Linked DNA regions of Bombyx mori. The protein of the gene in region 1 purifies or fractionates together with the protein of each later gene. This does not show direct contact. Links are inferred from orthologs where the notes say so. Each region holds a gene or a part of one and is shown on either strand. Other genes may lie near its edges.

Region 1 (7,552 bases):
TTAAACTATCATACCATCAAAAATCTTTAGTGTACCGGAGTGAAAATTAAAATCTTTTTGTGATATTATTTGTAAATAATAACGTTTAATCAGACGTTCAAAATGGAACATAACTTAGATGATTCATTAAACTTAGAAGGAAGCATAGAAAGTGTAAGTATTCACTGCAGAATTCAAGACATTCTTTTCTTATTTTTATGCTTATTTAGCAACGAGTTTATTGTAATAATTAAAGGCACTTCGATAAATCAACCACACAAACTTATGATTTGTACTGAATTAATAGTATTCCAGAATTGTTGGTAATCAATCATACTTTGCATCAACAATCTTAATTAATTTTCACAACATGCAAAGATCTAATTTTTTATATCCTCATTATTATAATATAATCCTCCTTAGTGTAATAGTTAAGTTATAAACTCAGGATCAAATAAAAAAATAGTTTTCATTTTTAGATAATGTAAAATTGTATCTGAAGTATGGTTTCAGATTTCAAATTGATCTCTGAGGTCTGTTGTTTTGATAACTAAAACTCAATTCATAATAGTAAGGTTTGTGTTTATGTACAGCAATAAAGTTCATGACAATCATTTGCATTTGACATTTAATGAAAATCGTTCAAGAGTTATCCTGTCCGCAGTGGATAGTATTTCCATTAATGAATTATATGATGAGAATGATGAGATTTAAGTTTACATCCATTATTTGCAAAAAAATAATTATCACCTTCTTATTATTTATATCCATCATCTTTTTAGACATAAAAGAAATTGGATGCCCAGTTGACCAAAAATTCTTCCTTAAAACCTTTTTTGTTAAGTTTCTTTACTAGTATTTGGTGTCTAATTCCATTTTTACTTCAATGTGAATTATGTGAAAGGATTCACATAATCTTTTGTAAATCTGATACTTTAGAAGCACTTGAATGAAAGGTGGGATCTCTTACCATTGAAACTTCAATACCTTTCTCACACTAGGTGGTGACGTGATAAAAAAGCATTTTAGCCATTTTCATTTTATCTGCTCATTTAAATAAATAAAAAATCTGCTCATAGAGTAAGTTTTATCTTTCTGTTTTATAATTCTCATTCAATTAATTTAATTAAGGTAACAATTTAACAGTATTTTGCGTTTTACCTTTACAAGATTGACAGAAGCAATAAAATCAAATAATTTTTTTAATGCAAAGCATCCAAGCTAGTAATTCAAGTCATTGATTATTGAATCAGTCACTAGGTATTACTGGTGCTTTCTCACAGTTGGAAGTAGTTTTCAAATAAAAACAGGATGCATATTGCATGCATACCCATTTTATTGAAGTATGCACATACAACAGAGATAGTAATCTGTCTGACATGAGTAGGTGCATAGTACGCACATTTCAAAGAGCATTTTACAAGGAGTAAAATATTAATATAAGTGATTGCTGTTTTAACAGAAATATTATTTTTAAGTAATTTTAGTGTTACTTATAAAAAAAAGTACAGAATGATAGAATATAAGCATATTTACTGCTATGATATTTTGAATCTTGTGTAATAGAGTTAAAGAAGGAATGGTGTTTCATTTTTGAAATTTCAATATTTGAAATGGGTTTTTAGATGGATTTTGATAATGCCGGAGTGGTTGTTAGTCAAGATAATATGACTCTCTCTGCAAATGAACACTCAGGTGATCTCTCAATGGATTTTGAAGAACAACAAATTTTAATGGATGCAGGAACGGAAGAAGTCATTGGTAAAAAAACTTAGATAAAAATCAATTATAGTCTATGACATTATTAAAATGTTATTAGTATATCTGCAGTCTCCAGTAATGAACAACACAAAACAACAGAATTTGTTTCTATTCCTCCAATTTATGTTTCAAACCATGATTCAACTATAATGAAAACATTCCCTGAGATGCCAAAAGCTTTATATAAATGAAGTCACACAATTATTCCCTGAGCGACTTATTATGAAGATGAAAACACCAACTCACTAGCTTTAGAGACACGTGATCATGAGCCCTAAATGTGTGCCATTGAATGAGATTTTGCAATGACATAAATTATCATTACTAGTTAGTGATCAAATTGCAACAATAATCACAGACACCGTAATATTGATTTTAATTTTGTGCTTATATTACATTTACAATTTTTTCATTTATTGATATTATTGCTTTAGTTGAGAATAAAATCCAAAATTTACACCACAGTTTATCACTAGATACTTTACTGATTAGTGTCGGTAAGGTGGTGCCACATAGGTATGTACCACCACTCTATGTAGTTCTGCCCCAAAACGTGTGTCTTTTGTATATCATCATAGTCAAACCAAAATCTGCAGTGTGCACTTTTTGAGGTTTTTACTTTTTGACTTTATCATATAGTTCACAGCCCTATCTACCTTATAAAAACTGTTATGTGTGTTAGCTTTAATATTTATCTATAGCTTTCATTTGATATAGTTCTTAGAAATTCACCTTAATATAAAATTTTATATGAAAATGTTTTTACTCGTTAATTCAAAATAGAGTTTTTGCACATAGAAGATTTTGGTTTGACAGCGACGATGTGTAATTAAGACATAGACCTCATGACTCAATTCGCGTGGGGATGTTTATGTGCTCCAGTAACCACTTAACACCAGGTGGATTTTGAGCTGTTGACATTTGTGGAAATAAATAAAAAATGCCACCAAAAAATGTTGCTGAACAATTATTTCATTACCCATTGTATAATATAACAATGTACAATATACAATGTCTGCGATTATCAAATATATTTTTTCAAATATAATTTATTTATCTTGTACAATAAATCAAAATTAATTACAGATTTTACAGGTGACCAGTTTTCGCTTCAGGAGTATGCTGTGCAAGATGATCAAACTCCAGAACCTGAAGTGACTATTGAGCTGAACGTAAATATGCTGTCATTTTTTCATGTTTAACCATAATATATATTATAAGTTATAAATATGTAATTAGTTAATTAACTTGTAATAGTTAATTTTTAATGAATTATTTCAACTATTTATTCGCTTTTTAGTAATCACAGCTAGTAATGTTTTGCCAGAGATTAGTGTATAGCTTAATATTATGGTAAATGAGTTGTTTACCATTACTACAGACACATTTATTCAATAAATAACTCTATTGTTATGTCAATAGAATGAAATTGGAGCTGAGAGGCGACAAATCAGCATTGCCATCACCCAGTTTATTAAATTATTAAATCTCATTTGTATTTTAATAATGATTATCCGAGCCTTCTATCTGAAACTTGTCATTAATTTGCAGCATAAATGTGGGCAGTATACTGATGTCGGAGTTAATAATTTTCCTAAAACTGATTTATTTTATTAAGCATTTATCTTTTATTTTAAGTTACTCGTGAATACACATTTGGAGACATACAAAAAAAAATGTGGTATCTTTCTATCACCAATACAATCCTATTATTTTTCTCTATCTAATCACTGGTAGCTTACCGGGCTATCCCAACTACGCTCGGAAGGGAAAGTGAGCTCAGAAGCTCAACCTAAGAGAATTGCTAACACTAGCTCTGGGGAGGAACTCTGTGGGCTGTCTATGGAATAATCTCATGCCTGATAGGACATGGATGTCTTATCTGTTAAATTAGGGACGGACATCCCAATTGTAAAATGGCATTGTATTTGTTTTTGGTGATGTAATAATGCCTACTATAGATTAAATTTATGGATTAATTTCAGCAAATGAATATAATAACACCACAAGACACAATGTTGGATCTTAATTTAGATCTTGATAGCTTAAAAGTGGAAAGTGATAACATTTCCAAAGAAATAACCATACAATCTAAATACATTCTATTAAAGGTAATTCATTAAAAACTTTCGAATGAATAGCATGTTATTTAGTCGATTTCACCAATTACGAGATTTGCGACTCCAAAAGCGAACGTCTAGTGCCAGGGTGTTTATAATTCTGTGCTCTTTTAAAGGCGATAATCGTACGAAAAATTCTATCATGACATAATCAAAGACTGCAATCATCTCTTGTATCCGAGAAACTAATGTATATGAGCCTTGATTTGTTTAATGCTCTTTCTAGAATCTAATAATCTCGTTACGTTTTTTTCGTAAATCATACATAAGTTTGAGAAGCGTTTCTAGAATCAAACAGAGTTGATTATTGAGCAAACCACCTTGAATCTGACTACTATATTGTGGTTTTATAAAACTTCCTACCTATTCTAAATAGTAACCTCAAGGGGTTATTCTAGATTCACCGAACTAGTAGGTGAGCTCACGGGGCTTAAACCGGGAGTGTTGCTAACACTGGCCCTAGTAAAGAGCAGTGCTTCGCAGAATCTATATTGTGGAGTTGAATGGTGAAAATTCCAACTTCGATAAAGCGGCACGACACAAGAACCCTTTCATCGTGGTCGCCGGTAACTACATTCCCGATCCTGCGGACAGAATGGAAAGCAGTCGATGTCGCATCAAACACGTAATTTCGGATCCTCCCGATCCACTAACGGTGCTTTTAGGTACCTCAAGCACCGGTCATCGTCCTCGTCGAACCCGTCGCTTGCGACGAAGGGCTCGACGAGTAAATTAACCCTCAGACACAGCCCACTGAGTTTCTCGCCGGATCTTCTCAGTGGGTCGCGTTTCCGATCCGGTGGTAGATTCTGAGAAGCACGGCTCTTGCTAGGGTTCGTGTTAGCAACGTCGTCAGGTTTGAGCCTCGTTAGCTTACCTACTAGTTAAGGTTACGCTAAAATAGCCTCTCAAGGCTCTCAGCTTAGGTAGAAAAAAAAAAGGGAAAATTCTATATATGAATCTTTTTTACAGTCCGCATCTTTGAAACCCACTAAAAAGCCAGAAGTGAGCAGCATGCCGCGACAAGTGCCAATAGCGCCGAAGCCCCGCCTGTCGCAGACGACCAAACCGAAGACCACGTTCGGTCCGGGCAAGCAATACGCCATCGCGCCGAAACCTGTTACGTTTGTGATGAATAAAAATACAAAAAAAGTCTCAGTAGCCGGTGTACAAGCAAACTCAAAAGGCAATGCTGTACTAGGTGAGATTTTGTTATGAATATAATTTTTTAATTACCATTCAGTATTCATATTCATTTCAATATAACTGATGATTAATTTGATATGTGGGTAGGAATTTAATTAGTAAGTGGTATTGTTAAAATCACACAAAAAACCTATGGACTTCTTTATTGAAGTCAGTTAAACTTCTAAAACATGAGTTGTGAGTGTCGTGACATAAATGATAAGACATCCGGTGTGTTCCTCGTATCCAATTTTGCGGGCGGACAAATGAAATACCTATATACTTAACATATGGGAACAAATGATTTCTATGTTGAAGGAATTAGTCCATGTAATAAAGATGAAACTCGCAAAATTCACGTAATTACTGATGGTAGAGCGTATTGTAAACTCAATTGGGCAGAGAACACCGTGCTGCACATTTCTGCCTTTTGCTTTGAGCAGTGGGACAGACTAAACAATAAGGCTTAGTCTTCCACCTTGTCTTTCAACCAGGCGACATTCACGTTGTATCTTTGGGATATGGTAACCACTTAACAGAAGGTGTGCGGTAAGTTTGTTCACGGAAGTTTCCAATAAAAAATGTTTTCTATTTCTAGCTCAAATTGGTAAGCAGTTAGTTATGGTACCAGCTGAAGGAGCACAGAAAATTAAGCTGGTGTCTGCCGGATCAGGTGCCACTCTCCAATATGTACGAGCTAATTCTGATCAGGTACTTATGGCCGTTTCCTGGATCCTATTGCATGTACCACTATCAGAGTTGTAACAAAAAGGTTTCATACAAATCAACTTGATTGCTTCTAATAATAAAAAAGGTTTGTTGGTCAAAATATATATTTTATACATTAAATATATGTTACCGTTTCAGGCACAGTTAACACCAGCAAAGGCCGCCGGAACAACTCAAGCTAAGCCTTTAGTGGCTAAGGTCGTAGTGCAAGGTAAGCGCTCGTCACCTCCACTCACGCGCTGACTTAACTGTTACCCTCTGATTAAGTCCACTGCGAAGAAATCGTGCTTCACGTTTGAACAGTAAAATATCTGTTATTTCCAATTCAGCAGATAGTAATCACGCAAATTATGATTTTTGCCTCTGGCATTGCTGAAGTCGGCTCTGGCATTGCGGTAACCACTCACCGTCATCAGTTGGGCTGTACGCTCATCTGCCTACCTACTAAGGGAATAAAAAAAAAAAATATTTATTACAGCGTGCTTAGTGCGAGTTTTTTAACGTTCTCGATAGCGAAAAAGTTAACCCAATTTTGCATGTAGTTGGAACAGCGCCCCTAGCGGCAAACGTAGGCAAACGATCCCATTTCATACAAATATGAGCTAACTTTTACGCTATTGAGAATGTTAAAAAACTCGCACTAAGCACACAGGTTTGATTTTGATTACGCGATGTTACTCTTTCGCCGTGGAAGTAATTCGTGAATATTTGTTTAGTATTTCTTAGAAACCTGCGTGCGGGATTTTAACACCCAATCGCATCGTTCGATTCGACGAGGCTCGAGGTTTCTTCGGTTATTCTTTAAGCGATGAGGATTTCCAATATATTAATAAAACTATTTACTTTTTAGCGGGTCACTCAAACACGGATACAAGTAATCAGCCGGCAGTACTAACAAAGTTGTTGCCGTCAAGTAACGCGGGCGCCCGGTACGTGATGCAACAGAAAACCGTCCCTATATCTATTGGAAATAAGGTGAGCTTCTTGGTATAAGTTTATACAGGCTTTTGACTGGATGGAGCATGTATCACTTCTACAATAAATAACTTTTAATGGTATCTGGGGTAAACTTACAGTCCGCTCGCGAGCTCCGAGGATTTTTAAGGAATGTTGACGTAATGAGCTAGTGTTGTAATTAGTCGATATTGCGCTATCGATACTCACACAACTTAAGCCTCCGTGCGAGTGTAAATTATAAAATAGTTTTATGAGGGTATTATGTACTTCAAATAAAATAAAAACAATTGATCACGTATGAATTTAATTTAATGAACTGATACTTATTGAACAAAATGAACGTGAAATCTTATTAATTACTCTCGCAATCAGATTAATCAGTAGTTGAAGAATTTGATGTACTATTGACACTCTCTTTATGTACTTCAATAATAAATGATTCGACAACATCCTCCATTAAGCTATCCTTTTGTCAGTAATGTTCCTCTAATGCTAAGACATGTTTATTATGCTAGTGCTCGCCATTCCTTTTTCATCAAATTAAATAGCTATTTGTGCAAACAAAAATACTTATAAGTGTAAAACTATTTATATTAGAAATCACACGTAATTAATACTGCTATCGCAAAATTAAAAACAACGAGTCGGTAAGCGTACTCTCACATTAAGGTCGACACTAGTACTGGGAGAGTGCGGGGTATGAAGCGACGGTCGGGCGCGGTGCACGCCCGCCCGCTTCCTCAGCCCCCGAATCCTCGGAGCTCGCGCGCGGACTGTACTTGGATGGTAAAGAAATACATAATCCAATACCTGTGTTGAAT
Region 2 (7,652 bases), on another chromosome or scaffold:
AATAAATCATAGAATACTATTCTCTAAAATGTCAATTTCATTTAAAATTTCATTCTTTTTTGACATTTTCTCTTTTTGATCTTTATCAGGGCTCTTAAGAAGCCCTGCTTTTATTTTTTCCTCTAGAAACTCTATTTCTCTAAGCTTTTTTCTGAGATTCTTGAGGCGTTTTGTCGGATCAGACTGAGATATACTTTCAGTCGGTACTGACTGACTAGGTACGGTTGGTTCTTGTATTTCACATTTGGCAAGTTTTTCTGCAGCTTCTTCAACACCTGTAACTAAAAATTTAGAGTTCATAAAAATCAAAATTCTCTAACCAAATGTTCACTGCAATAATATTGGTTATTTTTAGTGGTGTGATTGAAGATTACATTTAAAATATAAAGTAACTAAGTTCAAAAATTTAAAATGGGTAAAGTATTAAGAATCTTTAAAAATAATGTATCAAAATTTTTGTGAACTATCGGCTTGATAGCTCTTGTCATTTTTTAAATATGTTTTTGGAAGCTAAGGTTTACATATTTACTAAAAATTGCCTTAAACGTTCATGTTCACCAGCCGTGTATGCCAGCAAAATAATAATCTTCTATAATATGAATAGGATAGTATGCTTCCTAATATTGCTATTGAGCTTTTTGAGACTGCAACTTAAAATCCCTAATACTAATTATTCCTCAAAAGTTATTCTGTAAGATTACCCTGTCTTATTCTTTATTTGTGAAAGCTATTCATAAACATGACAATGTGTTGCTGTTTTGACTAGATTAATTTCCCTTAACTGCGTTTGAACTCCCTGTCAAGTGTCCTTCTATATTCTTTGTCACTTGATGAAGCTGTTGTGGCCTAAGTGATAAGAAGCCCGGTGCATTCGTATCAAGCGATGCAATGGGGTAGGAATCTGCAGTCAGGTACCATTTTTTCTAGTAAAATAAGTACATAACAAATGTTCATGATTGACTTCCACTGTGATGGAGTAAAATCGTGTATTAAAAATAAAACCCATAAAATTATAATCTGTATAATTAGTGGTGGTAGGACGTCTCATGAGTACACAGGTAGATAACACCACCCTGTTTATTTTTGTCGTGAAGCAGTAATAGATTTTGCTTTGAAAGGTGGGGCGGGGCAGCCATTGTACTGTAAAAGGTTGGTGGTATTTAGGTTGTAGATGTTTATGGGCTCCAGTAACCGTTTAACACCAGGTGGGGCATGATTTTTTCCAACGAAATAAGAAAAAAAGCATATTTATTACTCATTTCATCCTTAAGTTTTTTTATTCTAAAAATATTATATAGCAAAGCTCTAGATAGTTTCTATAGCCAGGGTGATATTACTGCAGGAATCTAGCAAGTGCTGGAATATTTTCTTTTATGTAATTTAAGAGTACCTAGCGTGCTAGAGGAAGAGCACCAGCTAGATGGGTGGACCAATTTAAGGAGGTGACTAGAGGCCAGATACAGGAAGCGGTACTTATGGCGCAGAACCGGACCGAGTGGAGGAGATTGACATACAGTCATGATCCTCAGCATAGAGGGAACGACCAGAAAGAAGTCACCTCACACAGAAAAGTACCTTAAATTTTTTCATGAAATATTAATTCAGTAAGGACTCAAAGCTTCATTTATTATATATGAGCCCTATAGATAAGCAGATGAGCTCAATGACCATTTGATGATGTAATAACATATTACACCAAGTACCATTTTGCTTCAGGAACAACAAAAAATGTTTTTTTTTATACCTGTCTTCTTTTTCTTTTTCTTCTTTTCAACAGTTATAATCATTCCAGGTATAGGTTGGATAGTGCTTCGTTGACCTTTCTTCTTTTGTGCTTGAGCTACAATCTCAGGTGTAAGTCCAACCGGAAGTCCATCATTTTGCCTGGCCCTGAACTGTTTTCCTTTGCTTTCATACAACGGTACCTCTTCTTGAGGTACATAACCTTCTTTTATTCTTCTCGGCTTGCGCCAGGTTCCATCAGGTCTTTGAGTTGCAGGAATGAATTTACTCCCTTGAATGTTGAAATTTTTAAAAGTTAAGTTTAAATTAATTTTGTAAAGTTTTTGTAATTAGTTTTATCTTTGAAAATCAGTAAAAGTTAAGCTCGATTAGAAATATATAATAGACTGTTAATTAACAATAATAGGTAATATATTTGGATGAAAAATTCAAGTATTTAAAGGACAGTTCTTCCTATAATTATTGTGTGAAACGTTAAACTCTAATGTTTACAAAAAAATCGTATTGTATCAATTAATTCGAATATCTTCAATCACACGAAACGTGGTTAATGTGAAAACTACTAGAGAAAGCGGTGAGGCTTGAAAATTCTTCAATCGTGAATTTTTTTGTACACTAACCATCAGCGTCGTGCTCATAAGCCGTTGGTGTTGACATTATAATACATAAGATTTCAATTTGTATTTCAACATTTATAAATCACGGCAATGTATTCTTAAATAATGAGCTATTTTCGTGGTACTCTACACAGTCAAACCAAGATTCACACAAGAAACTATTTTGACAAATAAAATATTGAACCGCTTTGTTTGACACATAACAGAGGGACCATAGATTGTTACTTTTTACATATATAGCACTCGGTTTCTTTCTCTGCCATCGTTACTCGTGTCGAGTTTGATGGTTTAATTTTATTATTTCAAAGATACATTAAAATACTTTGTTAAATGAGAAATAAGATTAATTTATCTGAAATAAAATGATATGATACAAAATTAAAGGAAATAGTATGCTAGTAAGATGAGAATTGACTGCTATTTTAGTTAACTTTTGAGAAAATATCAAGAATTCTCGTCTAAATACTTATGAGTAGTTTTTACATGAAAAAAAAACATATTAAAATCCACTATCGTCACCTTTTTTAACTTATCCTATAATATTATATCCTTTTTGTAACTTCAAGATTTCTCCAAAAAAAAAAACAGCATTCAACAAAAAACACGAATGTAGACCCAAAGTTAGAGTAGCCAATGGCCTTATACAAATTAAAAAAGAACAAATTAAATATACTGTGCACATCTCATTTGTTTTGATTAATTATTTTAGTTATTTTAATTTTAAATAGATTCAAGGAGCAGGTTTAAAAATGCGTAAACGAAGAAGGATTTTCACTCCAATCAAAAACAAAGGAAAGAGTATAACGCAATTCCCTCAAATTTCTAATAAAGGTTTGATCAACATAACGAACTTTAATACACAATTGTAGGATATAAAATTTTCCTGATATGGTAGTCTCGTTGGTTGGTGGTTAAACTTTTAGCTTAGGGGAGGACCATGTTCGATTTGAGTTTCCTTCAATAAAGATGCAGAATATTGAATATCGAATATAAATTCTTAATTTAAAAACGAATTTTTTTGCTGAACTGTTTTAAATTCAAAGCTTACACCGGATTCGTATCTATAATTATCTATTGTATTCCCGCGTCTAGTTTATTATATATAATGTCAGTCATCATAAAATCACTAACACGCTAGTAGTCGAAGATCCTGATAAATGCAAAGTATTTAAAATGTCGTGAAAGTAAGATACGCGTGATTAGAGCGAAAAAATAGTTACAATTACATCTTTTAAAAACTGAAGAAAATAGTATATCACATATTTTAATGTTTTTTGTTTAAACAAACAGTAAAAGAGGTGACAACTGCTCGAGGGAGGCTGCAGGGAGCGTTAATGGAAATATTGGAACCGGCATTGGATTCTGATGACTCTACTGAACTTACACCAGGGAAAAGAAGGTATTTATTCATAGATATCTATTATACATTTTAAACTAGAATTGCATTATATTTAATATAGTTTAAGCTAATAAATAAGACTGAGGCCATTGAGACTTCGAGGAGTTTGTCATGATAGTTGATTGATGAAAAATCAAACTAGACACAACCATCAACGATTAAGATCATGACAACAGAAGAAAAGTAGACCAGCTAAAATTAGATTTTGTTATAAGACAATTTTAGTTAGCCAGGTTAATAACCAGAATAAATGTATATGAATGTAACACAGGATTCCTAAAGTTAACCAATATAGTACAGACCATTACAGTATTCACACCTAAATTTGTGTAAACATCAATAGCCTATGTAGGGTTTTAACATATAAGCTACTAGCAGACCCGGCCACACGTTGCTGTGGCTAAGGTTTTTGTTTCTAAATAACACGCCGCGTGGCCGGCTATGCTAATATCAAAAATTGACAAAGTAAGAACAATTGGATTTCACTGTATTGCGCTTACTACGAAATAATTTTTACTTAAACTTTAGCCTCAGCAACACGTGGTGTTTGTGCCATTAAATTGTAGCTTATGTGAAACTTTGGTATTTTTAACATAGCGCCATCTATGAGATAATAATGTCAGACAACCGATTTAAGGCGCCATCTGTTTTAGATTTATGAAACTTCAATTAATAAAAAAAATCAACATAAGAAATCATTTTATTGTTAATTAATAAATATTGCGACCATTAATCGAAATAAAAACCATCCTATCTTTCAAATTGGATCAAACTGCACACGGTGTGCAAATTTAATTTAAAATCGGTTAAGTCGCTTAGGAGTCTATCACGGACAAACAATGTAACATATGATTTATATATATTAAGATTATAAATTGTTAAGTCACATCAAAATCTTTTAACTTCAAAGATTAACAAACGTCTATCCATCCCCACAAACATTCTCATTTAAAACATTGATAGAATCAGAATATGAAATCACCTTCACAGACAATCAGATCAAGATGAAACCTATGTATCGGAAGAAGAAGATATTCACTCACAAAAACAATCCCAGCGGCAGTCATATGTTCTCAAACTGTTCGATAGGAGTGTTGACTTGTCACAGTTTGATGAGGATTCCCCTCTCTATCCGATCTGCAGAGCCTGGATTGCAAACCAACCTAAAGCTGATTACAGCAAATTTGGGTAATTATATATTTTTTTAATAATAATGCTAATCATCTTGTAATCCTCCTTGCTTCGGTTTCCTCAATGCTGAGGATCGTGATCACTTATTTGCAAAGAGTTTATTGTGAATCACTCTAAGCCATTTATTCCTATTAGCCACCGAGTGTAGAGCATCATGGACTGTGGTGTCAAGAGTAGTACAGATCTGGTCAGTCCAATGTGCTGGGCCTCTACCTCGTGGTATTTTTCTGTCCACTTTGCCAATACCACGAACCTATTGTGTCTCAATATAATTAAGTATGATTCATGAAAATAAACTTTAATTAATTTAATCAAAATATTTTTTTTAGTTATGATCAACCTGAAGACAACGAGGATATTATGACAATAGACTTGCCAGGGCCAGAGGGACCTCCAGTCTCTAGGATACCAGAGTTGTTGCCGGAACAAAAGGCAGCCAACAAGGACAATATTGATCTTGAATATGTAAGTTTAAAATATAAAATTTGTAAGAATAGGTAATTTTATATTTTGTACATGCTGTATTTTTATGTAGAAATTTTTCTTCTTTATTTATTCAGATACAAAAGGGAAAACAAAACCATTTTCTATTCTGTTTATAATTTTTTTTTATTAATTATTGAAGATTTTTTTTATTTATTTTTTAGATGGGTGGACGAGCTCACAGCCCACCTGGCGTTAAGTGGTTACTGGAGCCCATATACATCTACAACGTAAATGCGCCACTCACCTTGAGATATAAGTTGTAAGATCTCAGTATAGTTACAATAGCTGCCGCACCCTTCAAACCGAAACGCATTACTGCTTCACGGTAGAAATAGAGTGGTGGTACCTACCCGTGCGGACTCACAAGAGGTCCTACCACCAGTAATTACGCAAATTATAATTTTGCGGGTTTGATTTTTGTTACACGATGTTATTCCTTCACCGTGGAAGTGAAACGTAAACATTTGTTGAGTACGTAATTCATTACAAAAATTGGTACCTGTCTGGGATTCGAACACCGGTGCATCGGTTCAACTCGAATGCACCGGACGTCATATCTGTTAGGCCACGACGAATTTCCTGGAAATAGTTCGGTTCTCTGTACAGCATCAAATTTTGTAGGTCTAAAGTGAACTATAAACACTACACTGTATTGCCTCATGGGTAAGATTACTGAGAGCTTTACATGATTTCAACTGTTCTTATTGCCGAGACGAGTGAACAAACCAACAATACGTCTGGTGATAAGCAGTTACTGAAGACAATAGATTCAGTGTGAATGCGATCTTGAAACTCGTGGTCTAGATCTAGATGGTATAGTATAATAACCATCTCACTATAAAAATCAATAAGGCATGACTGCTTGGCGTCAGAGATACGCAGGGTGGAGGTAACACCCACGCAGCTTCATATCTGAGGCTGGTCAGATTTCATAATATTATTTATTAATCCCAATAATCAGACACCATCACCAAGCCGGGAGCAGCTGTTATCTTCACTGCAAGCCCGCTGGTCGGCAGTGAGGGAAGCCTGGTTACAACAATCCGCACGAGCAGAAGCAAGATATGAAGCCACGCAAAAAATTCTCAACAAGATCAACGTTAAGTGAGTATAAACTTTTTTTTTGCCCTTACTCTATGTTTGATTTTCAATAAACTAATAGAAAGCCTGAACGCGCCATTGTGATCAGTTTACTAAAATATGTAGTATTTTGAATACGCCATTCACACGTTGATACCAGTTGGCGCTATTTCAATTTTAGTGTTAATATAATTAAATAATTTAATTTTAACTTTATTTTATTTTCAGTTCAACTTAGCTGTATTCATACTACATTATATACAAATGAAAACATAATGCAAAATTATTTTTAAGGTACATTATATTTGATTTTAATCATTTGATCATGATTGTGAATTATTTGATAATAATACAAACTTTTAGTTTTTATAATTGATTTATTTTTTAATAAATGTTTCATGCTTGCTTTCGTCTCTTCTTTACTTTTTCCTGTAGCTGTGGGCACTGGGTTTTCTTGTGACCCTTTTCATTGCAATTGTAGCAAGACTGTAAGATTATAAATATATAGTAAAGTTGCATACTGGGAAGGACTGAATATGCTATAAAAAAATAATATTATTAAGTTTTTTTTCCCTACCTAATCGAGTCTAAAGACACCATATCAGCGTAACCTTAACTAGTAAGTGAGCTTGCGGGGCTCAAACCTGACGATGTTGCTAACACGAACCTAGCAAGAGCCGTACTTGGCAGAATCTACCACCGGATCGGAAACGCGGCCCCACTGAGAAGATCCGGCGAGAAACTCAGTGGGCTGTGTCTGTGGGTTAATTTACTCGCCGAGCCCTTCGTCGCGGCGACGGGTTCGACGAGAACGATGACCGGTGCTTGGAGTACCTAAAACACCGTTAGTACACCGGGAGGATCCGAAATGACGTGTTTTGGGCGACGACAACTGTTTACCATTTGGTCCGCAGAATCGGCTATGTAGTTTCCGGTGGCCACGATGAGAGGATTCTCATGTCGTGCCGCTTTATCGAAGTGAGGTTCAAATGAGTAAGTGAGCTAACAACCACAGCACAGGGTTTTCTGTAGTCCATAAATGTATTTGGTGTAAGTAAATACATTCATAATATATAAAAACGATATACATAGGTTTATATTTACCTGACTTGTCACTTCAACACCACAAACATGTT

What was found. Proteins that work in one complex are often made in the same cells at the same time.
Region 2: the proteins of protein lin-54 homolog (region 1) and protein lin-37 homolog purify together in Homo sapiens (affinity purification with mass spectrometry; 4 studies listed by BioGRID and IntAct, counting the BioPlex papers as one, with this or other methods). This does not show direct contact. The link is inferred for Bombyx mori from reciprocal best matches to the Homo sapiens genes LIN54 and LIN37.

Annotation. Positions count from the first base shown.
Region 1 is NC_085109.1:10,707,900-10,715,451, reverse strand, and holds part of protein lin-54 homolog, read left to right. Parts: 5' UTR 1-102; coding exon 103-153; intron 154-1,604; coding exon 1,605-1,740; intron 1,741-2,826; coding exon 2,827-2,912; intron 2,913-3,725; coding exon 3,726-3,851; intron 3,852-4,832; coding exon 4,833-5,061; intron 5,062-5,643; coding exon 5,644-5,756; intron 5,757-5,912; coding exon 5,913-5,985; intron 5,986-6,624; coding exon 6,625-6,749; intron 6,750-7,552. UniProt on the Homo sapiens protein: Component of the DREAM complex, a multiprotein complex that can both act as a transcription activator or repressor depending on the context. In G0 phase, the complex binds to more than 800 promoters and is required for repression of E2F target genes.
Region 2 is NC_085114.1:15,045,046-15,052,697, reverse strand, and holds protein lin-37 homolog, read left to right. Parts: upstream 1-2,947; 5' UTR 2,948-3,109; coding exon 3,110-3,191; intron 3,192-3,241; exon of another isoform or gene 3,242-3,263; intron 3,264-3,650; coding exon 3,651-3,759; intron 3,760-4,749; coding exon 4,750-4,947; intron 4,948-5,279; coding exon 5,280-5,415; intron 5,416-6,397; coding exon 6,398-6,540; intron 6,541-6,744; coding exon 6,745-6,754; 3' UTR 6,755-6,912; downstream 6,913-7,652. Other genes in the region: wibg (partner of Y14 and mago), read right to left, coding at 7-275, 1,745-2,014, 2,364-2,400; rRNA N6-adenosine-methyltransferase ZCCHC4, read right to left, coding at 7,519-7,652.